Linked DNA regions of Anolis sagrei. The protein of the gene in region 1 purifies or fractionates together with the protein of each later gene. This does not show direct contact. Links are inferred from orthologs where the notes say so. Each region holds a gene or a part of one and is shown on either strand. Other genes may lie near its edges. The genes, in order: ZYX and ENAH.

Region 1 (3,909 bases):
CTGTCACCACCTCCAACTCCTTCAAGATCAAGCCAGTCACTTCAAGGATGTCATCCATCAATCTTGCCCTTGGCAGCCCCTCTTCCTTTTTCCTTCCATTTTCCCCAGCATCATTGTCTTCTCTCTGCTTTCCTGTCTTCTCATGATGTGGCCAAAGTATTTCATCTTTGTCTCTACTATCCTTCCCCCTAATGAGCAGTCGGGCTTTATTTCATGAAGTATAGACTGGTTGGATCTTCTCGCGGTCCAAGGCACTCTCAGCACTTTCCTCCAACACCACAGTTCAAAAGCGTCTATCTTCCTTCGCTCAGCCTTCCCTATGGTCCAGCTCTCACATCCGTAGGTGACCAAGGGGAATACCATTGCTTTAAATATGCGGATCTTTGTTGCCAGTGTGATGTCTCTACTCTTGACTGTTTCATCGAGATTGGACATTGCTCTCCTCCCAAGAAGTAAGTGCTTCCTGATTTCCTGGCTGCAGTCTGCATCTGCAGTAATCTTTGCTCCTAGAAATACAAAGTCTGTCACTGCCTCCACGTTTTCTCCCTCTATTTGCCAGTTATCAATCAGTCTTGCTGACATAATCATAGTTTTTTAAATGTTTAACTGCAACCCAGCTTTTGCACTTTCACCTTGGTGAGAAGGCTTTCGGCCATCAAAGTGGTATCATCTGCATATTTAAGATTGTTAATGTTTCTTCCAGCATTTTTTACCCCAGCCTATTCAACTTGTATGCAGAACACACATGATGTGTTCTGCATACAAGTTGAATAGGTTGAGTGAGAGTATACAACCCCGCCGTACGCCTTTCCCAATCTTGAACCAGTCTGCTGTTGCAGAAATAGTTCAGAAATAGTGAGGATCTAATAAGTAACACTACAAAATCCCAAGGGTGGCCTTCAAGGAAAGGAAGGGGGGTGTCTGTGTGTGTGTGTATGAGAAGAGACACCCCTTTTTTGAGGAGGAGGCAAAGAGGAAGCTGTCTCCCCCCCCCCTCTTCCTTCTCCTCTTCTTCCTCCTCCTTCTCCTCCTCTTCTTTCTTGCCTTCCCTCCTTTTTTCGCAACCTCTGCCTCCCCGGTTTGCCACATTCCCGGAGGAGTGAGCTCAGCTGTTGGGTCGGCGCGGCCTCTCTCCTTTTATGGTCAAAGCGCGGCTGGGGCCGGGCGAGGCTCCCCTCCGCCGAGCGAGGGAGAAAGTGAGGAGTTCTGGGGACCCTCCTCCTCCTCCTTTTCCCTCCTCCTCCTCCTCCTCCTGAGGGCCGCCCCTTCCCGAACTTCCTCTCAGCCCCGCCGCCGGGCAGCGCTTGGGAAAGTCGCGCGCCGGAGTGTGAGGGCTGGCACTGCCTGGCCGCGAGACCCTTCCAAGCACTCTCTCTCCTCCTCAGGCGCACAGGCGCGCGCAAAGCCCTCCTCTTGGGACCACCGTCTTCAAGGTAAGCCAGGCTGCGCTTCGCCTCATACTTCGGGGGTTCCGGGGCTGAAAAGGCGAGGGGGCCGGGCTGTTCTCCTCTTCCTCTGTCCCGTCCCTCCGAAGGCGCCTTTTCCTCCAAAGTCTTCTTCCTTGAGCGCGCTTTCGTGCTGAGAGGAAGGGCTTAAGCGAGGCTACTCCATGCACGCGCCACACCAGGCACTCTCCAAACTCCAGCTGTGCGCCTCCAACTCCCAGAAGCCCTCGCCGGCTTGTTGAATGGTCAGGCATTCTGGGAGTTGGAGGCCCAAGCAGCTGGACAGCCTGAGTTTCAGGACCCTTACACACAGCCCTATAACCCAGAATATCAAGGCAGAAAATACCACAATATCTGCTTTGAGCTGAGTTATCTGAGTCCACACCCAGACAATGTGGGGTTTCCTGCCTTGATATTCTGGGATATAGGGCTGTGTGGAAGGGCCCTCCCAGGCAACCCTATAACCTAGAATATCAAGGCAGAAAATCCCACAATATCACTTTGAACTGGGTTATCTGAGTCCACATTTGGAAAAAAGGGATTTTCTGCCTTGATATTCTGGGATATAGGGCTGTGTAGAAGGGCCCTCCCAGGCAGCCCTATAACCCAGAATATCAAGGCAGAAAATACTACAATATCTGCTTTGAACTGGGTTATCTGAGTCCACATTTAGAAAAAAAGGTATTTTCTGCCTTGATATTCTGGGATATAGGTCTGTGTGGAAGGGCCCTCCCAGGCAGCCCTATAGCCCAGAATATCAAGGCAGAAAATCCCACAATATCCACTCTGAACTGGGACTCCTTTTACACAGCTGAATAAAATCCCACATTACCTGCTTTGGACTGGGATATATGACAGTATGGACTAAGGCAGTGTTTCTCAACCTGTGGGTCCCCAGGTGTTTTGGCGTACAACTCCCAGAAATCCCAGCCAGTTTACCACCTGTTAGGATTTCTGGGAGTTGAAGGCCAAAACATCTGGGGACCCACAGGTTGAGAACCACTGGACTAAGGGCTCTTCCACACAGCTGTATCAAGGCAGAAAAACACACAATATCTCCTTTGTACTTGAGTTATCTGAGTCCACACTGCCACATATCCCAGTTCAAAGCAAATAATGTGGAATCTTATTCAGCTGTGTGGATGGGGCCTTAGATAACCCTGTTCAAAGCAGATATTGTTGGATTTTCTGCCTTGATATTCTGGGTTATATGGCTGTGTGGAAGGGCTCTAAGTTATCCAAGGGCACTTCCAGGCAAGCCCTACATCCCAGGATCTGATCGCAGGTTTTCTGCATTAGACTGCATTATATGAGTGTGCACTGCCAGATAATCTGGGATAAAGAGAAAAACTGGGATCAGATCCTGGGATATAGGGCCTCTCTGGAAGGGCCCTAAAGCACCACACAGTTGAATAAAATCCAATGTTATTTGCTTTGAACTGGAATATATGACAATGTGGACTCTAATAACCCAGTTCAAAGCATATATTGTGGGTTATTCTGTCTTGATATTCTGGATTATATGGCTGTGTGGAAGGGCTCTGAGTTCACGCTGCCATATATTCCAGTTCAAAGAAGATAATGTGGGATTTTATTCAGCTGTGTGGAAGGGGCCTCAGGATGCCTGTTTCTTCCTTGCCAGACATATCCTCCCCTCCTCCTCCTCAAGGGAAATACCTCCAACCTCAAGTCTCCTCCTTTCTCTTGTAAAAGCTTGGCAGCTGGTGAAAGTTGAGAGGCGGGGACTGTTGCAAGCTTTTAACTCAAAGGGCCCTTCCACACAGCCGTGTAACCCAGGATATCAAGGCAGATAATTGACAATATCTGCTTTGAATTGGTTTATCTGAATCCACATTGCCATATAATTCCATTCAATGTGGATTTTATACAGTGGTGTGTAACAGGCAGGTATCTCCTTCTCTCTCTCTCTGAGGCCCTCTCCTGAGCCATTTTTCCAGATGTATAGATAGACTTGGGTAAGGAGAAGGACTCCCCCCCCCCCCATTCCTGCGGGTGGCCTTCCTCCTGGAGAGTGCGCTTACTTCTTCCTTTTACTTTCTTGATTTAAGGCCTGTGGGTGTGAAGGGCTTGTGACTGTAGGCCTTCCTTTCACTTCTCTTCTCTGCAGGTATATCTTTGCCAAGGTACTTTTTTCTTTCTTTTCTGACTTGGCCAACAGAGCATCCCACCAGATTATACTATGTAACAAAATCTGAAAAACATTATGTTCCCAGGTTGAAAGTGTTATTTTTTTGTTTTATTGTGTCTGATGTACTTTGAAAGTAGGGCCCTTCCACACAGCCCTATTTCCCAGAATATCAAGGCAGAAAATCCCACATTATCTGAGTGTGGACTTAGATAACCCAGTTCAAAGCAGATATTGTGGGATTTTCTGCCTTGATATTCTGGGATATAGGGCTGTGTTGAAGGGCCCATAGTTGTTCTACTCCAGAAACTTTGTTTT
Region 2 (3,909 bases), on another chromosome or scaffold:
AAAAAAAACAAAACAGGAATGGCAGACCATCTCACTATGAATCTTACATGGACTTTGCAACTGCAAGTGCTGCAAAGGAAATCCAAATGAAGTGCCTGGGAGAAGGTCTAGTTTAACTCTGGCAGAAGGAATAGCTTTCCCTGGATCCTAATGCAAAACAACCTCCTGAGCCTCAATTTTAAGTGTTGCATCAAAGCAGAGGAGTAGTTGCAGAATGCAAAACAGAGGAGCCTCCTCCCTCTCCCCCCCCCCTCCTTCGCGAGTGTTTCCAGGGGAAATGAACCCTTTTCTTCTCCAGGGTTCATGCAGGGAGAAGGAGGACAGGCATGCCTCCTTCGATAGGGAGACCAAAACAAAACCTAAATACAAATATTCGAGATTCCCAAAGCATTGTGTGAGCGCTTTCTCTCTCTCTCTCTCTCTCTCTCCCCCCCCCCCCCCAATTCCTCCTATTTATCGATTACACAAAAGACAAAACCCAGCAGGGACTGCTGCATTGCAACACACGGCTTTTTCCTCGTCTCCACCTTGAATTCGGCAACTCTACGAGGTGATTCCGAGTCTGGTTTCCCAAAGCGAATCCTAAAAGGACGCTGGAAGAAGCAGCCTGGCCCTCCTCCTCCTCCTCGCCCCCCGCCCAAAGCAAAACGCATCCATGCCGAATCCCCCTCCCGTTAATAAATGAATGGCTCTCCCTCTTTCCTTCCTTCCTTCCTTCCTCCCTCCCTCCCTCCCTCCTGCGCACCAACCAGCCAACCCTCTCCTCCTTCCAGCCCTGGCTTGCAACAAAAGCCCCGCAAAAAAGCCAGAGAGATGAGCCATGATGATCCCCCACGAACACAGCAGTCGTCGCCTGCTCTGCCTCGACCGGCAAAACACACACAAGAACTTCCCCCACTTTCCATGCAAAGGAACAATGGGAAAGAGGAGGAGGAGGAGGAGGAGGAAGACCCGACAATAACAGGAATGGGGATACAACGCAATTCAGTCGATGGGGGATGAATTGAATGGCCGGACTGCGCGAAAGGGCTCCCCTTTCTGCTCCTTGCACCCCTTTGCTTCCAAACACAGCCCAGACCCCCATTAAGCCCTCCCCGAAATGGCGTTTCCCAGTCCAGAAGCCCCCACTTCCCTATTAAACCCCTCACTGAATACCTCATTGGGGGTTCCCAGTCCAGAGGCCCCATATTCCTGTTCAAGTCCCTATTGAATATCTCATTGGAGTTTCCCAGTCCATATTCTTAGTCAACCCCCAATGGAATACCTCATTGGGTTTTCCTAGTCCAGATACCCCCATATCCCTATTAAACCCCTTATTGACTACCTCATTGGAGTTTCCCAATCCAGAGGCCCCCTTATTCCTATTAACCCCTATTGTATATCTCTGGGTTTTCCCAGTGCAGAGCCCCCCATAGCCCTATTAAACCCTCTTTTGAACACCTTATTGGGTTTCCCAGTCCAAAGGCCCCATGTTGCTATTAAACCCTCTATTTAATATCTCATTGGAGTTTCCCAATCCAGAGGCCCCCTAATTCCTATTAACCCCCTATTGTATACTTCTAGGTTTCCCCAGCCCAGAGGCCCCCATGTCCCTATCAACCCCCCTATTGAATACCTCATTGGGTTTTCCCAGTCCAGAGCCCCCATATCCCTATTCAAACCCCCTATTGAACACCTTATTGGGGTTTCCCAGATCAGAGGCCCCATATTCCTATTATATCCCCTATTGAACACCTTATTGGGGTTTCCCACTAGAGGCCCCATGTTCCTATTAAACCCCCTATTGAACACCTTATTGGGGTTTCCCAGACCAGAGGCCCCCATATCCCTATCAAACCCCCTATTGAATACCTCTTTGGGTTTTCCCACTCCAGAGTCCTTATTCCTATTAACCCCCTATTGTGTATCTCTGGGTTTCCCCAGTCCAGAGGCCCCCATGTTCCTATTAAACCCCGTATTGAACACCTTATTGGGGTTTCCCAGACCAGAGGCCCCCATATTCCTATCAAACCCCCTACTGAATACTTCCTTGGGTTTCCTAGTCCAATCCTCTCCCACAAGAACCCCTTCCCTCTCCCCAGTTAGGACCAGCCCCCCATTAAACACACACGGTGCCTCCCTCCCCCCCCCTTCTCCTCCTCCATAATGGCTTCCCTCCTATTGATCAAGTCAAGGAGCCCCTTCCTCCTCCTCCTCCCCCTCCTCCTTCCTCTGTCTTACCTCATGTTGCTGCCCAAGGTCCGGGCGGGGGGCGCCTTCCCCCCAGGCCCAGCTCCTGCCTGTCTTCCTTCCTCTTCCTCTTCTCAATGGGAGCGGGAGGCCAAAGGAGGAAAAGGAGCGGAGGCAAGGGTCCCTCTCTCTCTCCTTCCTTTCTCTCTCTCTCTCTCTCTTTCTGCTCAGGCGCCAGCCAGTCCCTGCCTTGGCAACCCTCCCTCCGCCGGCCACAGCGGGGAGTCCGAAAGGAAGGAGGGAGGGAGGGAAGAAAGGAAAGAAGAGCGCGGAGGGAGGGAGGGGGAGAGAGAGGCGACCCTCGAGGCGCCGCGAGGATTACGCGGGAGAACCCCGGCTTTCGGGGAGGGGAGGGGAGAGGAAGGGGAGAGGAGAAAGAAAGGAAGGAAGGAAGGGAGCAAGGCAGGCGGCGGAGAGACCGGCTTCTCAGGGGGAGGGGAGGGGGCTGCAAGGCGAGGGAGGGGCCAGGCCTCCGGAGCAGGCGCGCCGAGGGGGCGGGGCCAGGGGCAAGCCGCGCCTATTGGACCTGCTCTGCATTCTCCGTGCATTCCATGCGGGATCTCAAAAGGGGGGGAGGGGGCGCCCAGAGGTGGGCTCGCCCAATCCGCGCGGGAGGCAAGCAGGCTCCTCCGCCCGGCGTTGCCACCGCGATGAGCACGCTCTCTCGCGCCCCCCCTGCCGGCCGCTCTCCGTATCGCTTCCCTTTTTTTTTGCGCACTACTTACCTAGCCGCGGGTCGGTCAGTAGGTACACCGTGCTGCTCACGTCCCTCCTGACTGAGCGCATCTGCACCGTGGAGTGTGCACGCAGCCTTGGCACTGCTCCATCTGCCGTGGAGTCCATCGCAGCTGCGGTGTGAGGAGGCACACCGGCACTCTTTGGAAAAGGAGGCCAAATTCTTTCAAAACTACAGCCAGTCCCCAAGTTACGAACCAGATAGGTTCTGTGGGTTGGATTTGTGTGTAAGTCGGAACAGGTACATTTTTAAGTGTAACTCCAGCCATATATGTATAATATATTTATTTTTAAAAAACACTTCTATAATCTTTCAAAATATTTTGTATTAGTCTATTGTTGTTGTTGTTCATTCGTTCAGTCGTCTCCGACTTTCCGTGACCTCATGGACCAGCCCACGCCAGAGCTCCCTGTTGGCCGTCACCACCCCCAGCTCCTTCAAGGTCAGTCCAGTCACTTCAAGGATGCCATCCATCCATCTTGGCCTTGGTACTCTTCCCGGGAGAAGACTAAAACCTTGTAAAATTACAATTGATTGATTGGTACAATTTAACCCGCTGTGCTACCTGCAGTAGCACAAGCAGGTTAAACTGCTAGCTGCAGGAAATCTAACCAGAAGGTTGAAACTTCAAAGCCACAAGTTGGGGTGAGCTCCCAACTGCCAGCCCTAGCTTCTGCCAACCTAACAATTTTAAAGCATGAAATGCAAGTAGATCAATAGTTACCACCTTGGCAGGAAGGTAAAAGGGCGCCCCATGCAGACATGCTGGCAACACAATCGGAGATGTCTATGGACAACAGGCTCCTTGGCATGGGAGAATGGAGCAAGAGCACCTCCCCATGGCTGGAGTTGAGCATCGCCTCTAGACACCGGATATGAAAAAAAGGGGAAGGCCTTTACCTTTGTCTGTGTTGTATGCTGTTGTTCACTGTGTGTAAAAGGCA

Evidence for each region.
Region 2: the proteins of ZYX (region 1) and ENAH purify together in Homo sapiens (co-immunoprecipitation; 4 studies listed by BioGRID and IntAct, counting the BioPlex papers as one, with this or other methods). This does not show direct contact. The link is inferred for Anolis sagrei from reciprocal best matches to the Homo sapiens genes ZYX and ENAH.

Annotation. Positions count from the first base shown.
Region 1 is NC_090022.1:196,437,842-196,441,750, reverse strand, and holds the start of ZYX (zyxin), read left to right. Parts: upstream 1-1,233; 5' UTR 1,234-1,433; intron 1,434-3,909. UniProt on the Homo sapiens protein: Adhesion plaque protein. Binds alpha-actinin and the CRP protein. Important for targeting TES and ENA/VASP family members to focal adhesions and for the formation of actin-rich structures.
Region 2 is NC_090021.1:39,444,584-39,448,492, forward strand, and holds the start of ENAH (protein enabled homolog), read right to left. Parts: upstream 2,673-3,909; 5' UTR 2,226-2,672; coding exon 2,221-2,225; intron 1-2,220. UniProt on the Homo sapiens protein: Ena/VASP proteins are actin-associated proteins involved in a range of processes dependent on cytoskeleton remodeling and cell polarity such as axon guidance and lamellipodial and filopodial dynamics in migrating cells.